Neodiprion lecontei: one gene and its partners. The protein of the gene in region 3 binds, or shares a complex with, the protein of the main gene of each other region. Links are inferred from orthologs where the notes say so. Each region holds a gene or a part of one and is shown on either strand. Other genes may lie near its edges.

Region 1 (5,345 bases), on a different chromosome or scaffold from region 3:
ATTGTACATGTATATAATATTGTATGCATACATTTTCTGTGAAGGCTGTGTCATCAGTTTCGTGTTTCAGATTATTCCTCAATATCGAAAGAATTATTTACGACATCGGCCTTCGTTGTGTAAAAAATATTTCGTAAATAACGCACATTTGCTTGTAGCCTTGTATACCTGAGTGTGTGGTGTTTGTAATATAGACTTACGTTATTATAGGTATATATTTTTAAAATCTAATACCGTATTTATTCACTTACAAGCCGCATGCTCATTTACAATTGTTCAATTCCAACTGTCGGTTTCACGTCGCTTCTGTATGTACAAAAGTTATGCCAACCTCCTGATATATAATTAAAAAGAATAAAATGTTTTTCTTCAATATTGATATGTAAATGATAATATTGTTCAATGTCAAACTTGACGTATTTAAGTCTTGTTAGCTTTTTAAGTTCACGTATATGAAGAGCGACGGAATTGAAGAGCATGAATTTGTTGTTCCACTTTGAAATTTCCTTAATATGTTACATCTACAATGAATAGGATAAAATGAAACTTATATCGAATAGTTAAATTGTGGCTTACAGGTGAATGAATATGATATAAATTATAAATATTACTGGGATTGAGTTACAACCTTAAAGTACCTAATATAAAAAAAAAATAAAAATATTATACACGCATATAAATAATAATGCACAGGTAATATATTTTTATCCTTGCGAGAAGGACGTATTTGATTTATTAGAAAAGGTTTAAGGCCCTCTTATAGAAGCGCTTCCGTTAATATTGTAAGTAAATTGAATAAATCTACAGGAATGTCTCTTTTTGTTAACTTTTATTTTCGTCGATCATAATTATTACTGTTGCCAATTAAGGTACTTTATATTTCACACCAAATTGACTAAGAATCCTTTGTCTGCTTTCGAAACAGACTAACCTAAACTTGTCCACCATTGATATTATGGTTAATAATTTTACACAACAGATTCTCACTGTTATCAATTGAATTTTATTTCAAATTTTGTACATCGTATAGAACAGTTTTCCTTCGCTTGTGTACAATTTTATTTTTACTTATACCTAGCATCTAAGTATGTATGTATGCATGTAATAACCGAATGTGACATATGCATAATATGTTTATAACGGTAATTTTAATTCTTAACGATATAATTTCCTAATTCCACATAATTTAATGACCATTTTTTCAACTATGCAATAAGAATTGAAAGTAACAATTGCTTATTACCTACATTACATATTTATATAAGTAAAACACCCATAAGCTTGGGTGTTGGTTTTTAACCAGCTAACAAAGATACTCTGAGTGAGTCTCGTCTCAAACTCAAGGAATCGAAAGAGCGGAATCAACTAAATTACATATTTTAGGTACGTACATCTAAATTTTAATTAATATTTTCCTTTCTTCTCTCTTCTATGTTGCTCCGTACGTTGCTCTTCATTAGATTGACTATAACTCCTCTTTCTTCCATTACTATGATGTTCTTTGCTAGATTTATTCCTATAGTTTTCTTTTTCTTCTCTATTTTTATTATCAGTATCAGCTTTACATTTATTATCTTTTCTATGCTTTTTTTTCTTATCACCATACCTTCTTCCTTCAGTATCTTTGTATTCGAAATTGCCGTCCAAGTGGAATGCTGGTTCCTTTTCGGACCGGGCCTTCTTATTCTTTTTCTTTCTATCGCTATGTGCATCTGTACTTTCTGAACTACTATCATCGCTACTGCTAGATTTAGCATCATGTTTTTTCACCTTTTTCTTCTTTTCTTTCCGGCTTTTCTTTTCAAGTTTTTCCAATTTCCTATAGAAGAAAAACAAAATTCAAACTTTGTACAATGTTTCTACAGATTAATTAATCTCACAAACGCACGCCCCTATTCAATACTCACTTGAGCAGCTTTTTTTTCTCTTTTTTCGAAAGAGATCTCAAAAAATTAACCTCAGACTGCTCTTCATCTTCAGAAACCATCAGATCTTGGTGTTCCGGTACCCTGAGGTGTTGTTGAGCATCCAGAGCCGATCTAAACAAAAAAATCAGTATCACCAGATTCAATTCGTCCCTACTGTGTAGTATATACTATAGTCGTGCCTCATAATATCTTTATTTTCACCCTGATGGATTATAGTAATACAGTCGTAATGAAAATATAAGCCACAGTCATATCAGGAAGATATGATAGCTGTAGAGAGAGTACGTTCCAGACTCAAAAAGAGTAAATTATTACAAGATATGACTCGAGTTGACTAAAAATTGTGCTGAAATTTACTTTTTCAGTGCCAATCCATCATCCCTCATTTGCTGGACCAGAGTCAGAGCATCGGGAGCTGGTGATGCTGGTTGAGTTTGGGTATTGGCCATTACTACGCTCATCGCTTGGCTATACAGCGGGCATTCTTTGTCTGCGAGGGAGAGAATAGAGAAAAAAAATCAAGATGTGTGACTAGAAAATGCTAATTTTCTTATTTTCATAAACAGAAAGAATTAAATTTACCTGTGTTGATGTGACCCCACTTGTGGCATTTTATACAACGAACGTTCCGAACCTGTATACCAAAAGGTTGATCTCTAATCTCACTGTCTCCTTTACAGTAGCTTTCTCTCGGCGCGTTATACTTTCGTTGCCACTCAAATTTATACTCAGGCTCGTTGTCTTCCTTTTCTCTTTCTTTTTTTGCCCCTGGCGGAGGTTCGTACATAAAATTTACGCTCAATTTGTCTTTACTCTCCTTGCTCAGCAGAGCTCTGGAAATAATTAAATTGCACTTTATTATCGACCACGCTTTCGATATTGCCTTGAATGTATGTAATCAATGCGGATATTAACTTGTTGTTGTGAAGATCCTGTTCCTTCTCGTACTGTACACGTAATTCCTCTTGTTTCTTCTTATACGCCTCAGCCTGTTGCTCGGCCATCCATACCTGTTAATCATTCGTTAATATCGATTTTAGATCGTTGATCATCTAACGTTGACGGGTTCGCGAGTGAATCATAGAATTTCTCGTATTATATCGTATGTGTCGTATACGTACTCGCTTTAAATTATCCCTAGATGCTGGGTGAAAGAATTTCTTGCACATGTAATTATTGAATCCTTTTCCCATGACTGGTGATTATGTTGTAAACAATAATCAACGTGTTTTAGAAAAAAATGGCGCAGCTGACAGAAAATTAAATACACAACACTCAATACCACGGTCAATACTTCTTTGACAAATAAAAATGACGAGGTTAATTCAGGTGACACCACAATCATCAGACACGATGAAGAGTGGTGAAGAGTTGTGAAAAAGCAAACTGAAAGTACTGCTGCCACGTCGAAGAGTCGGCATTTTTTGAAACTAAAAACTGTGGTCGTTTACCGGACTCATTTTAGAATTAAATTACACAGCACAGTTTAATATTTTTTTTATAAAAAATTTATGAACAATTTCACTCCGAATTATTTCGCGTTAAAATATTATCGAATTTAGCAACTCAAATAATTTTTGTCAAGAACTTCAATATTTTTCCAACTGTTACAGCGCTTTTAAAACCTAACATGAGCGTAGCTGTCAACGACATGCGTCACATGAGTACGAGGAAAAAATGAGCGATAGTCGACGTCAGATCCAATATGGCCGTGTCCGTACGCACCTGACAGGTCAACATAACCTAACAAATATTTGAGGCGAAAGACGTAGAGAGCCAATAATACACCATTTCGACGCGATGAAAATAAACGAGAAAAATATGGTCGCTTTCGCGACGTCAGCAACTCCTGTAGACCGCGAGGGATGGCTCAACAAACGCGGCGAAGTCAAAGGAGGATACCAGAGGCGGTGGTTTGTCCTCAAGGGCAACATTTTGTTCTATTTCGATCGGCGAGGCGACAAGGAACCTGTCGGGATGATCGTCCTCGAAGGGTGCACCATCGAGCTCGCTGAAGACGAGGAGCAGTTTGGTTTCAAAATCGTTTTCCACGGTCCCAACAACAGAAGCTACGCCTTGGGAGCCGAGTCGCAAGTGAGTATTTTTCTCCTTGTCTCCAACTTTCAATTGGCCGGAAGCCTTATTTTGTTTTTTTATAAATTCGTAGGATTCAATGGAGCAGTGGATGAAGGCATTGGCATGCGCTAGTTATGATTACATGAAATTAATGGTTGCCGAACTACAACGGCAGCTGGACGCTGCGGAGGAAGAAGTCACACCTACTTCTCCACCTGTTGAATCTCCCAAGGCGCCACCTAGACAACGCCACAATCCATTTAACAAACCTGATACTCATCATCGATCTCAAAGTGTCAGATCTGCTCCAGGAAGAACCGAGAATATTCCAAGAACGAGAATTACTTTTAGAGAGCTCCATACCGCTTACGGGAGGAGGATATTGGCCGATCTTAATGAATGGAGACACTCTAAACGGAGCGTCGAAGCTCCACTTATAGCACTGTAATAGAAAGACTTATTGCGGGTAAATATAGTTGCAAATAATTGTTAGATAATAACCAGAAATTTACTTCTATGCTCTTTCGATTCTCGATGTTTCTAATGCAATTCTACAATTTGATTTGATGGATGAGATTCTTCCATTTATCAATGTCCGATGGAAATTTATAGTGTACATCGCATTTGACTCATTGTTCAAGTATTTCTAATCGTATCTCTTTAAAAATGCTTTTTCCCGAATTTAATACGAGAATCGGTTTTGATGCAGTTCATATGTATCATCACTGATGAATTTTATCACCATATTTATAATTTTCAAACGCGAGATTCGAATTGTACTGATCATAGAATGCATTCGTCCTCATTCTCGTGATCCAAAAGCGAAATGCTACTTAAATATTACTTGAGACAAATTACAGATCAGTGCGTAGATCGCTATAAATATAATACATATATTTGTAGTGACGGCAATGATACAACAGGATTAGAGAAATAATGGGTAATTCATTTTCTTGTGTAAATACCTAAATAAGTATTTTATTAGTCAACATTATATTAATAATCTAATAAATAAGTCAACAGCCAGCTGTGGTAAAATATTGCAGTACATTAAACATTGTGTGTAAAAAATACATGATTGATTAACCTCACAGAAAAAAATAGTGTTGAAAAAAGTTTTATGGTGGTTGAGTCACATGGTCATAAAATTTCACATCACCATGTATTTAATAAAAATATGATTGGAATATGACATTGATGATATTTAGGTAAATGTGAGACGCTAGTCTACGTAGTGTTATTAAAAAGCTGTACGAAATAGAATTCTGTACAAAGTACTTGTATAGAATCAAATCCTTATACGTATATTATATAAGTGTCCAATTGTTCATGCTATATGTA
Region 2 (6,121 bases), on a different chromosome or scaffold from region 3:
AGAATTTTTTATTCATAAATTCATGTCAATCGTAACATAGATTCTTTACCGTAATTATCTGTTATAGCAAATTGAAAAGTACAAGTCTTATGTACGCAAAATTGGATACTGGAATAAATTCTGACCTGCTTGGCACAAAATTGAATTTAATTAGTACATAACGCAAAATGGCATCGATTGAAGAAAGTTGGAAGGAGGCTACAGAAGGATTGAACAGTGACACGTGCGACACTTGGATAATCAAGTTGCAGGATGTCTATTCTGAAGAGAAACGAACCTACCACAATCTTGATTATCTTCAAGACAAGTTACTCCACTACTACGAGATTAAGGACAATTTAACTAATCCCAGGGCCGTACTCCTCGCACTGTTCTTTCAAAAGTAACTTATCAATCGATGATAACATATGTTTGAATAAAGATAAATAAAATATTTAAACCTGATGTAAATTTTGCAGTTTTGAGTATGATCCAAAGGCGTTGGATTGCGAGGAAAAAAATCTACAACACTTTATTACCTTTGCAGATGAGGCAGAAATCCCTGCGGTGAGTTCAATTACTTTTCATCTCGGTACATCTCTCTAATTGAATTCAATAACGTTACAAGTTTCTATCAAAGACTTGACAATCTACATTCCCAGGATGGAGAATTACGCAATGAGGTTTGTGCTCTGCTGAAAGCAGCTGCTACTCATAGTACAGATGCACACAAGGTTGGAGGTGCCTTTGGCGAAGAGGATGCTCACTATCTTCTTGACTTGGATATGGCCATACTGGGTGCCGAACCTGAGAAGTATACAGAATATACAGAACGTGTACGCGGTGAATATGGGTTCCTTAGTGCACCGATGTATACCGCGTTAAGACTTAAGGTAATTTGTATACGTCCTTATGTTCCTACTTTGTACAGACATTTATAATTGATATGATCTTTTGTTCGCTTTGTTTTCTTTTTTTTTTGGGTTGATGGCATACGAATTTTACAGGTGTTGCAAAATTTTTTGCAAATTCCAAACATATTTGCTACCAAGGAGTTTCGCGAAAAGTTTGAGGAACAAGCACGTAAAAATATCCAAGCTGAAGTTGCGCTGTTGTCTTAGGAATTGAAGATTTGATGTCGTATGGGCATTTATACCTAAATGTTAACACCTTACATTTACGTTCGTTTATTCTTCTCCTTTTTCGCTTTTTTACTGTTGCTAACTAAACCGCTGTGATTGAAATGATCGAGATATTATGTAAAACAACAACGGATACATCACCTATAACTGATTGTGAATGTGAGAATATAAATATTCGTTATAATTCAACATGTATTATCATTAACATGACAAAAAATTCTGATTTACAAACATTGTTGACATAATGTGGTACAACTATAAAGAAAATTTCCAGCCACATTGACGGTCCCCATTGCTGTCTTTTTTTAAATAATATTTCAAAAATCAGAGTTGCATATTTTTCAGTGTGAATAATGGACAATATATCTGATTTTTTTTAATGATATTAAATTCAAAACACGAACAAGAATTGACGTCGATCTATTATAATTCATGAAGTATGTACACATGTCTTTAGCTTCGATATACTAGATGCGATATTGACAGACAACGGAGTGAAAATACTACGTGTAATAAGAAGAGTATCTTCATTTTAAAGATTTTTGCCAATGATGCGCACATGTAGTTTCTTGGTCGAATAACGAATCGAATAGGAATCAAAGACATTGATACGTGTTTCGTGAATTAGTTATTGTCTTGTATGTAATAAATCGATGATTTGTGACAAAATAAAAACGTATATGATGTTGTAGTTTGGGTATAATCGTTAATAGAGGACCCCATGAATCATGTTCTATCATCAATACATATTTTTTTATAAAAAGGCTTTCGACCACCAGCAGTTGTACTCTACTATGGTAAATATTGCTCTGCATTATCCATTGCTTTCGTGATGCTAAATACGACAGAATATTGTCGGTAACCGAAATGCATTTACCGTCCAGGAGCACCTGGAAAATTAGTTCCAAAGACTTATTTAGTATCATAGGGCGCTACTAAAACGGGGACATGAATAAAAAAAAAAAGTGTATTAATTCATTACAATATTTTTCATGAGCTGTCGAAATCTTCCCTCGCTGAGTGTAGTATGCTCCACCGTACCGTTTCCGAATAATTTCAATCCAAAGTTGAGGGTTTTACGGTACGAACAACGCGAGCAAGCGAGAGCGAAAACGTACCAGTAGCGTTTGGCTCATTGACAATACCTATAAGCATAGACCGCGTAGCCGGCCTGAGAAGTCGATAGCGGGATAGAAAGAGAAAGTTGCATGGTTCACCGCAGTCTTCGTCTGGTGGCACATGCGCGGGGCACGCGTAACTACGAATTTGCGCGTTCACCGCGTCCACTGAGTTTATTATTATATCCATGTTGCTACCAAATGTTATTTAATGTGATTTTGTGTATGAAAATAACTGAAAATACTAACCAAAATACCAGGAATATGCCTCATATGTAAAGCAAAACAAATTCCAAAATGCGAACGTAGTTTTCACATGTAAGTATTGTATTTGTAGTTTATAGCCTAAACTACAAATTTCATACTTATATACATTGATTCGTATTGTGATTGGAGGTTTCCCAAAAATGAATCAATAAAGCACAGACAGCATTTTACAATTTAACATTCAATTATTTGATTCTAATGTTTTATGCGTGGTTTTATGTATATACAATATAAGAACTTCCACTCCTCCGTTCATTTTCTATTTCATTCTTGCTGAAAAGAAACGCGGAACGCGCATGCGCCATTAGACAAGGATACAGGTGTTATATGCAGCTTTCTCTTTCTATTGCGCTACCGCATTTACCAACGTGCAACCTCCGTACTCCGATGGTCTATTATCCTTGCATGCCTCTGAGTAAGCAATAAGCTTACACAGGCCCGTATACGTGTGTCGGGCATATATGCAGGTACAAAAGTGGGCGAAACTATCATAGTACCAACCTATAGTCATTTGCGTTAACATCTGTTTGTAAAAAGTAAATAATATTAAAATGTAAAGAAAAATACACTATGAACTTCGTAACACGAAATGAAAATTACTGCACAAATCAATAACTAGTTATTGAAAACGCGTTTGTAGACTGGTGGTTACAGGACGGACAGCATAGTTTTGTAGGACTTACTAAACTATTTTCGTTTTGGAGTGAACAAATTTCATTGACACCCCATCAACATGCCAGCTGTAATAGTCGAGCCACCACAGCGCAGCGAACAGATGTGGCAGGCTTTAAAAACCCATATAACTAGAGAACGTCAAAGAAAGAAACAAGGTAACTCAAGTTTTAACTTTGTGACAATATCGCCCTACGGAAATGGAAATTTTTTTTAACATCAACAGCGTAACAAATCCTTTGCATACACGTGTTATATTTGATGTACAGAGCAAGAAGCAGATGCTGAAGAGGAACGTCAAAGGAAGGAAAGAGAGCGTCAACAAAAGCAGGATGTTATGACACTTGGAGAAACTCGCGTTCAGATATCACGTCTCGAAAGTGAACTGTCGCAACTCAAGGATGAGAAGCATCAGCTCTTTTTACAACTAAAGAAAGTTCTGAACGAAGATGATAATCGCAGACGTCAACTTATCAAAGAGACTAGGTGATAACTTATCAATACAATGAAGCAATTCCTTACAGTTAGCACTTCGGTAATACTGCCTTGTGCTCACAGATGACTAATATTGCTCGAGACGCTAATGAATTAGCGTAAAATTTGTGAATCTGATAGTGCTTATCAGACTCATAAATTTTCTGCAGAAGAACCAGGAACCTCAAAATCTTGGTCCTTACAGCAGCCTGAGCTGTTTTATAAATGAGATATGTCGCCTTTCATTGTTAGTAACGTTTCTTTGGTAATAATGAAAAAACTTACATTTTTAGCGTAACGTCGGAGGTGTTGTCGGCAGTGGGTGGCTACCCTGGCACCGGAGCCGGAGTGGTTCATCCTCAGTTGTTTTTACCACTGCAAACACGAAGTCCGCATTACAAAGTTCCAGCAACTGCACCAACGCACTCAATGCTGCCAAGTGTGCGTACAATTCACAGAATTGCATGTATCGTTTGGTTTATTTTTCTCAAAAATTATCATTACCTCAATTTCGATTTCATCTTATTCTTGTGTCTGTTTTCAGGGACCCTTGAAGCGAACGCATAGTCCTTCACCGCCTCTCACTGCTTCCCCGTATCACTCCGGATACGGATATAAACCTCCACCTTCCATTCCCAGCTATAATCCACCGCCAGCAAGTAGGTATTTTTGTTTCTTGTCGAATGAAGAAGTCTTATTCGATATGTTTTAAACAGACTATTCTTAGTCAATTCAATTTTTCTGCAGAAAAGAATGTCCTCTTGTTGCTGGTATCAAATGGTATATTTTTTAGAATCTGAAGATGCGGCGAGGAGATCTAGCGATGTCAGAGCTGTGCTTTGGAACAGTGAGTATTTAAACTTCTGATGAGCTTGGTAAAATCGAAACCTAATACTTCGTACGAGTCTGCTCATTTGAATGCAAAACGTAGTACTAACCATTTGATCTTTCTTCACAGAGGGAAACCAGTATTCAACGTCAAATTTCTACTCAGCGCCACAGGGTCAGAATGTCTACAACTACACAGCACCTAGTTCTCAGTCTTCTAGAGAACCTGAACCTGGGAAACTGAACTATTTGGCTGGTAGTCGAGGCACAATGTCATCTCATCAACCTGGTAAGGCATGCAGAGGAGTATTCAAATTAACCAAGCTAAGATTAATAACATATTCATAAACAAACCCTGATGTTGTATTCACTCATGAAGAATTCGACCAAATTCGAAAAAAAATTTTCACTAGCTTACGTTGCAAGTATGCATTCTTTGGAGCACAAAGGAGCTTATTCGGAGGACAAATTCTACCTCCGGCCAGGTAGCCACGTCACTGTTCACGGAGGAGCTATTCCCATACAACAGCCACCGCAGGTATCGGTTTCGCAAGTTGAAAACCTAAACATACAAGTCTTATTCGTTGTGAAAGTTTTATTCCTTCATACTACTTCTTTCATCACTATTTCACAGGGTGCTAAAACCGGTGGTATTACATCAGGGTATCCAGTCAGGGCACCACAGCCTCCTCCTGGTGCGTATCCACCTCCACCTGGTACTTATGTCAGTGCGTCTGCTGCAAATGTCGGTGGTCGTCTATTGTATACTCAACCTACACGGTATATGCAACGAGAAGTTTAATGAGTTGAATGATAATGATAAACATGACAATATTATTATATCACATAAACGATATACGAACCAAAATACAAGTAAAATAAAACAGTTTATTGACAAACGGTACATAACACTTTCTATATACCGACACTTATATTGTTAGATATCCAATTCATTGCTAGTATTTTTGATGCAATAGTTGATGAAAAATGAGCGAAATAAAGAGAATTTGATAGAGTAGTTAAAAATACACTATTTTGATAGGAGATTCTGCATACTTGTTCGAAGACCTTAACTTCGAATTTCTGAATATCTTTCTATTATTGCTATAGGCGCTCGAAAATCTGGTACTTATTTAACAATGTGTAACAAATTTTAATCAGTAATTATATTTTATCTGAGCTAATATACATATGTCATATAATGATACAGTGATATTTTCACGTATGTATGCGAAATTACATTAATAGATGTATTTAGATGGTGAATTGCATACAGATTCCGTTGATTCTTTACTTCGGGTTGCTGCACTTATTTACCCGAAACTTGTCACGTTGTTTCTTCTTTTTTTTTTTAAATGAAAATAATGAACGTTATCCGTTTGTAAACAAGTCAAAACTTGTTTAGTAAATAATACCTACTTAGACCTTATTATGAAACTTGATATAAAATAGTATTACAGTTTTTTACGTTTACGAAAAAACTTGATTTATTATCACACAGGATTACGCCTAGAATCGCTGTTTTAATTGAGAAGTTAAGTATATTGCATGACGTAATTTTTTAAATAATAATTATTCTCAATTTTGTCACAATCAAACGTAAAATCTTTCACATAGTAAAACTCAGTACTATTATTTATA
Region 3 (7,338 bases):
GAAGAAATTACTTTTTCCATTAGAACATCGGAGACATGTGTCAACTGGAGCGACCGGATTGGCAACAGGTGATGTCGTACGTGACTAGTATCTACAAACACTTTGAAACGTGAAAAGTGCATCAGAAAATTGAAGAAGTAAAAGCAAATACCCAGTTTATCTCAGCCAATGCCTATTTAGCTGCATGTGCAGCATATACAACCTTTGTTCAGTCAACACATGGAACGCAAAGGTTTGGGAAAAAATGATATGACCAATAGTAACACAAGGCAGTGACTACCGGCAGGCTATATGCAAGCATCTAGTCAACCAAACCTGAGAGTGTGAATCACAGAAAAGAGTGCTGTGGAATTAAATCGTCTCCAGATAGTTCCTTTGTTCATTTCATGATATTTATCAAATTCTAAATTTGATGAATTTTAACTGAAAGTATTCGACATTTATGTTAATGTATGTTTCACATTTTAGCATTGTGATTTTTCTAATGAAGAGCTTGTTCCAAAGTGCAGAATTCTCGATGGCTTTTTTAAGATTATTTACTTGAATTTTTTTATTTTTACTCAACTATGCAACCTAGAGGCTGGCATTCAAGGCTGGCGCTCTTTTCTTACGCTCCTAGGTAAAACTTCCTGCCGTTCTGGTAAAAATGCCTTTAATTTTTATAATTATTCATTATGTGTACATAGACATAAACTAGGTTTCACCTGTGTGATACTTTCTCTAAGTATATAGGGTTCAGTTATATAATCTGTCAACCTTTAATTTCAAAGGTAAGAGAAATATAATCATGCACATGTTACGATAGAGCGTGGTCACGTTTTTAATTCCACGACCTTTATACAGTATATAGATACATATAATTTACGAGTTAAGTATGCTTCTTCTTAAATATTTATATTTCCGGATGTAAATTAGCTACTTTTGTCATTGTACAATCTCACATTCTTTTTTCGATTACAACCGACTAGATTAAAGATTTTATCATCTTGATCGTGATAGATGCATTACGAATATATTGAAGAAATAAAAACATTACCTATCCATAAAGGAATTGAACAACTATCTAACCAGTTTACAAAATTGAATTGAATCGAGCAGTGATTAATTAGAGTAATCATATTTTCTTCATACAAGTAAAACACTAAAACTAAGTTGTCTATAATCTGTCGCCGGAATACTTGCGTTATCCTATCCTATCGACCAGTTCATATAATTTTTAGATTTTGCTTTAAGCTGATCTGAATGATACTGTCAAAGTAATGTATTGCACTAGGAGGACGATTATTGAAGAAAAGCAAACATAATTTAAGGGAGCCCTTTCCCACCAAAGGGATTGCTTTTACATGAGACTGAGAACATAACGATATAAATAAACTAAATAACATAACTATATTATAATAGATCCTCATACTGACGATTACTATGATTGTTACGTGTAAAGAAAAAAAAATATATATATATACAATACACATACATCCACTCAATGTCGCTTTTTATCCAGTTTTATATAATTATTATAATATAAAATTAAATGCAGATTTTAAGAACTATCTCAAACATATAAAAATACTGTAAAAAAAAAGTGAAGTTGAGAAGTATAATTTAAACAAATAACCTCAAGTGCTTATGTGCAAGTTTGCGTATGTATATCTTGTGTTCCTTGTCACGTTGAGTATTTTTGTATCTTCTATTGTTAATTTAGAGCGATAAGTATAATATATCATTAATTATTTTCAGACGATATTTACCACGTAAGCCTCACCTGTCACTTTGTGTAAAGTTCATTGTACATGAATCAATTATTCTAAGTTAATATATCTAATTTATTGTAATTCACAAAGTTTGACCATGTCAAGTTGTGCGTGTCTAAATAGCAAGCTCACTTCTATTTCATAGAACTACAGAAATAACTCGATTAGTAATTTTTAAGTTCTCTGTGATATAGCAACATAGCCCCTGAACAGAGAGAATTATATTGACAATACGATAATAAACATAGATAATAAAATTACTTGACGAGGATCAGAACTGTTTTTATTTATTAATAGTAATTGAAATAGCAAATATAAACAGGTAAATATTTTACAGATAATTGTCTCTGACTTCCGTACGTGAATGCATTGAATGTGCAGAAATAATTATCCCACGTGCTGCAAAATGATTACTTAAAAAAAAATAGTAATCTACAAGCTCGGTAAAGATATTTTCAGATTAAAATGTATGATCTCTTGCAACTTCATGATTAGCAGGAAAAGGATTTGGTATGTGCCCATATATTTGAGCTTTCACTATTTTGAAATAAGCTACTTGAAACTTCATAAGTTTTCATTAATTTGGTTCACCGAATTATCGTTCACTCTCACATATTGTCTCTTGATTCATTGTGCACTGCTGTGCGTAATATAAAGCACAAGTGAATGGTAGGGTATAATTTAAGTACAGTAAGTAAAAGAATACAAATGTTTATTTCTCGTATTTGATGACAGGAAGACACTGGGCTTTTATTTCAGAAAATGTAAATTATTAGCCTGAAAAACATTGTTCTTTCATCTAAATTAGAATCGTTTTGCTTCAAATTTGCCATCAAAAATTCATTTGCTTAGTTACAATTTTATATAGTTATAAAATGTGAAACCATTGTATAATACACAGTGACTGTTTGAGAAAAGATACCAGAGGACTGAAAAACACCAAAGTCAGAAACTATTGCACTTTTTATTCTGTGTGCAGGCTGAATGATTCATTTTCTATAAACTTTTGTACATTATGATTCTGGCTATTGAAATTGTTTGATGCAAAGAAGCAATCATACTATATCAATACACTTGTAGAACTTTATAAATGCTTATAGCTCTGCAATTAATTATTATGAATTAAAAAATGCGAGTAGAAATGTTATATGAGTCTCAAAACACTACTACTAGATATTCCTAAGCAATAGTAGGGGTACACATATTTTGATCCCTATGTGAATATTTTGGCAGTACAAAAATGCATGATAAATGAAATACTTATTATAAAATCAAAGTTGTCGAATAAGTGCCTCAGATTCGACTGTCTAGTTGATTAATAGGTAATTAAAAGTATAGAAACAAGAAAATGTGGAATTTTGTTAGCTCTATATTATTTGTAGCATTTTTACTCGGCATCATAAATTTTAACTCATGCGAAAAATGCCAAAAACCAAGATGGTGAGAAAAAAAAACAATTAATAGTAAAAATTTAAATTAAATACATACGTAGGTAATCAGTTGAATGGCAGCACGCAATAATGAGGTAACTCGAACAATATACATTTTCAAGAAACACATTGTGGATTTTAAATTGTACCATTTTCCTCAAGCTCAGAGAAAGAAGTTTTTTGAAATAAGTATTCCAAGTTCACCCTTATAATGTAGAAGATGAACTTTTTTCTAGTAATGCAATTTGCAACATTCGTTTGAAACAACAAAATCAAAAGCAGGGCATGTCAACTTGTTTCATTATCGCATAATGTCATTCAATTATACATATACATGAACTATTAACTTATACTCAATACTTATGTATACTTATTTTAGTCTTACAATCTCCTACTATTTACAATTTCTATGAATAAGCTTTAATCATATTTCCGTTGTGTCAGATTTGTCCTGGTCCTTATCACCGCTGTAATATTCATTTGCAGGTTCAACTTGTTTATCTGTATCTTGCTGATTTTGCCTTGAATCTGGATCAGGTTCGGGTTGTCTCTCTTCCTCCGGAGGGAGAGCATCGCAAGGAACATCTTGCATCTGAACACTAGGCGAATGCTGTACCATTTTAAGATTATCATAAACATGTCTTGTTATTGCCTCCAAATACTGTTTGCTATTAGCGTTATCTTGTCTGGTAACAACTTCTGGATGCAGTGTGAAGTCAGGTGCAAAGTATTCCAAATATTCTGTATACGGCAGCTCGTTGCTTATCTGCTCGTCAACCAACAAAGACGTTTCATAAGTCCAGCATCGTGCAACGTTTCTCAGAGTATATCCGCCTCCACCGACCGTTAAAAGAGGCACATTCAAATCCCTAACAAACTTGACACATTCTCCATGGCCCTTGGTGCTCAAACTGAAGCATCCAAGCCGGTCATTAGCCAAAGAATCCGCTCCACATTGTAGTACTATCGCAGTCGGTTGAAAGAACTCCATGACATTGGAGATGACCGGTTTAAAGACTTGTACATAACTTGTGTCGTCGATACCTTCCTTTAAGGGCACATTTACTGAGTAATACCTGCCACTCTCTGCTCCAATTTCATACATATCTCCCGTGCCAGGAAAAAAGTAATTGCCATATTTGTGAAATGATACCGTCATCACTCTGTCCGTCAGATAAAATGCTTCTTGGACTCCATCTCCGTGGTGCACGTCTATATCAATGTATAAAACCCGCGCGTGATATTTGAGCAGCTCCAAAATTGCTATGACGATGTCATTGATGTAACAGAACCCCGATGCCTCAAATTTCTTAGCATGATGTAGACCCCCTGACCAATTGATTGCTATATCGCAACAATTGTTGTTCAACTTTATAGCTCCCTCCAGTGACGCGCCAGTGTACATGGAACAGAAGTCGAATAATCCCTCGAAGACGGGACAGTCGTCGCCTACGTTGAAATGGCTCAAATATTTTGTGAATCCTTGAAGATTTTGGGGGGTAACTCGTTGCAAGAATTCAACGTACTCATCCGAGTGGAACCGACACATGTCATGGGTACTGGCACGATACGGTCTATATATTTGCATTTTTTTATGCAGCCCGTAATTGAGCACTAAACTGTGAATAACTGAGAGTCTATGTGGTTTCATCGGATGTCCAGGTCCGTAGTGAAAGTTACCCACGTCGGGATTGTAGAAGTATGACACTTTTTTGTTAGTACTCATTTTTTGAGGTTAAGACTGACTGGAAATTTATAAAACACACAACTTTTCTTGTAGTTTACGATTTATGTACTGACATTACACGTGAAAATCATCATCGATGATGAATTTTTTACTTCCAATTGCAAAGTATACCGGCTACGTACATACATAACAACACTTTGTTATTCCAATCGTCATACCACTCAGTATCTAAATTGTTGCCCTGCAAGTACTGTCTGCAGTCTTGTGTCTCAGTTACACTGCAGGATTGTTGATTCACTTTACCTTCGCCTCTCAAAATTGCCGTACTGCCGGAACCCTGGCGAGGTTTGCCAACCTAATACCAACACGGCCCCTAGCGATCACATCGGAATTCACTGGTCAGTGATGGTTCAGTGTTATACCCGTATTCATAGTCATAGAAGGACTATGAATACGGGTGTTAGTCAAGCGTTGACTGAGGATATATAGAGATTAATAAATCTGGGTTATTTCGCGTAACAGTTTGACGGGCTGACCACGCCACTAAAAGAAGTTCTTCACAACCAACAACTATCGCGTGCAAAATATTGGTAACATAACGTCGTCACAGTTAAATTGAACAGTTGCGAAAATCCCATTCAAAAAATATCCGTAATTGGTCGCGGAATTCATACTTCGCCTGACGTCGCATGTTACGGTAATGCTCTAGCAACCGCATAAGCGTCCCGTGAACGGATTCGAATCGGTTCTCTAAAGGACGGAAGATAATAATTCTCCCGCCCTCATGTCGCGTGCAGCTACCCCCACTCCTGAGAAAAACGTCAGGGGGGGTTATTATCTTCCGTCCTTCAGACAACTGATTTTACTCCCTTGTGAGCGCCGCGCGGCTTCAGTCGTTGCCGAGCAATTGGAGCGAAGTGACGCGTTCTCGTGTTCTCGGTACCGGTTCAACGTTCAGGCCCAGCCGCGTTCTTCAGTTTGTGTCACGACGTTCGATCAGTGCATTTTCGATTAGTACATTTTCACTCATCTGTAAATAATACACGAGAAGCCGCGTGTAGCCTGAAAAAATACCGAGTTACTGAAATAAAAAAATTCCTGCGAACGTTGAAGGTGAATTTCGTGTCCCGAGTTTTCAGTGCTTTGTGTAACTTCAGATTTCAGTGATGTCTATTTTTGTGTCTGTGCGTCGATAGTTAATTTTATTGTTTTTTATTAGCAGCTTTATTCAGTCGGTTCAGACAGCTACAGCACAAAAAGTGAGTGTCAAATCGAATGTTATTGCGGTGCGGATTTATGGATTATAAGAAATTAGTGAAGATCTGAATTGTGTGAACAGTGCGTCGCTTGACCTATAAACCTGAGATGCTACAAGAACTACTACGTGTAAAAGTGTGGAGCAACCCAGAGTCGAGGTAACAATACTTTAATTATTGATTGATAATTCACGGTGGTCATTTAAAGCCGAAATTTTGTTCTTGCATAACATGCAATGCACAAATACGAAACTAGCCAACAGTAATAATTCATTTGAAAACTGAAAAGCCAATTTGCTAAACTAATTCACGTGTCTTGTTATGTTTTTTACAGATTTAAGCAGAGACTTCCGAGTAACTTCCCTATTTCTCGGCAACGTTGGTGAGTTTGCATGTGTTAGGTTATGGGTATTTCCCTGGGATTCCTCTGTCACGTGGCGTGGCGGTAACAATTGTTACACAAATCTTCGATTTCTTAGCTGCATGGTTAGGCTCATTCACGAACGCAACGTGCTTAACTTTCAGTCGAATAATTTTTTTTTCGCAATGCAATTTACCATAGCTTACTTAATGTTAGACGTTTTACACGCTGCTAATAGTGGAATGAGCATCGCGACAGGTAACCATCGCTTACTCGGCACTCGCGAGATCGAATTGTGTTTTGTAACTGGTGTAATAATCTACTTTTGAATTTACCGATGAAGCCGTTTAAGTGGTGGGTTCACCTGAGGTTTGAATGTATTCAATTATTTACATTATTGTTGAATCGATAAAACTCCAAAGTCTGGCATAACGTAACGTAATCAAATTGCATTTTACATTATGTATCATTTTCAATCTTTTAACATCCAACATGTATTGAGCAACTCCAGGCTTAGCTCGCTAAGAAAAATGCTAATTGGCATACAGGATGTATTAATCAATTTTACAAAAGGTTGATGTATCGATAGTCTGCCAACATTTACTAAAATAATAAATGCAATATTAGGGTTGGCGGAAGATAACCGCGATACTGTATTCTGAGTAGGCAGACTACGATACAAAAACATTTTGCTCCCAACAGGTAGCCAACGAAAATGTAAGTCAGTGACCACGACGCAAATGATGAAGAATGATGTGTGTTGGAGAGAATGGAGAATCGTTTAGGTCGAATATAGGTAACCGGGTAGGTAGGTGGACGTTTTGGGATCCGTCGCGGGGTTTATGCATGAGTG

The links.
Region 1: histone deacetylase 3 (region 3) and corepressor interacting with RBPJ 1 share a complex: the UniProt entries of both Homo sapiens proteins name them as parts of the notch corepressor complex. The link is inferred for Neodiprion lecontei from reciprocal best matches to the Homo sapiens genes HDAC3 and CIRSR.
Region 2: histone deacetylase 3 (region 3) and G protein pathway suppressor 2 share a complex: the UniProt entries of both Homo sapiens proteins name them as parts of the N-Cor repressor complex. The link is inferred for Neodiprion lecontei from reciprocal best matches to the Homo sapiens genes HDAC3 and GPS2.

Annotation. Positions count from the first base shown.
Region 1 is NC_060264.1:2,183,183-2,188,527, reverse strand, and holds corepressor interacting with RBPJ 1, read right to left. Parts: upstream 3,296-5,345; 5' UTR 3,122-3,295; coding exon 3,050-3,121; intron 2,939-3,049; coding exon 2,844-2,938; intron 2,762-2,843; coding exon 2,511-2,761; intron 2,419-2,510; coding exon 2,286-2,418; intron 2,040-2,285; coding exon 1,908-2,039; intron 1,820-1,907; coding exon 1,405-1,819; 3' UTR 981-1,404; downstream 1-980. Other genes in the region: sesquipedalian-1, read left to right, coding at 3,729-4,022, 4,096-4,452. UniProt on the Homo sapiens protein: May modulate splice site selection during alternative splicing of pre-mRNAs. Regulates transcription and acts as corepressor for RBPJ. Recruits RBPJ to the Sin3-histone deacetylase complex (HDAC). Required for RBPJ-mediated repression of transcription.
Region 2 is NC_060264.1:3,719,681-3,725,801, reverse strand, and holds G protein pathway suppressor 2, read left to right. Parts: upstream 1-2,392; 5' UTR 2,393-2,557; intron 2,558-2,980; exon of another isoform or gene 2,981-3,146; 5' UTR 3,147-3,239; coding exon 3,240-3,336; intron 3,337-3,447; coding exon 3,448-3,664; intron 3,665-3,945; coding exon 3,946-4,114; intron 4,115-4,196; coding exon 4,197-4,311; intron 4,312-4,445; coding exon 4,446-4,499; intron 4,500-4,610; coding exon 4,611-4,769; intron 4,770-4,893; coding exon 4,894-5,018; intron 5,019-5,114; coding exon 5,115-5,282; 3' UTR 5,283-5,379; downstream 5,380-6,121. Other genes in the region: uncharacterized protein LOC107220910, read left to right, coding at 168-382, 459-546, 642-872, 987-1,100. UniProt on the Homo sapiens protein: Key regulator of inflammation, lipid metabolism and mitochondrion homeostasis that acts by inhibiting the activity of the ubiquitin-conjugating enzyme UBE2N/Ubc13, thereby inhibiting 'Lys-63'-linked ubiquitination.
Region 3 is NC_060262.1:24,830,038-24,837,375, reverse strand, and holds histone deacetylase 3, read right to left. Parts: upstream 5,197-7,338; 5' UTR 4,908-5,196; coding exon 3,606-4,907; 3' UTR 962-3,605; downstream 1-961. Other genes in the region: uncharacterized protein LOC107217481, read left to right, coding at 24-113. UniProt on the Homo sapiens protein: Histone deacetylase that catalyzes the deacetylation of lysine residues on the N-terminal part of the core histones (H2A, H2B, H3 and H4), and some other non-histone substrates.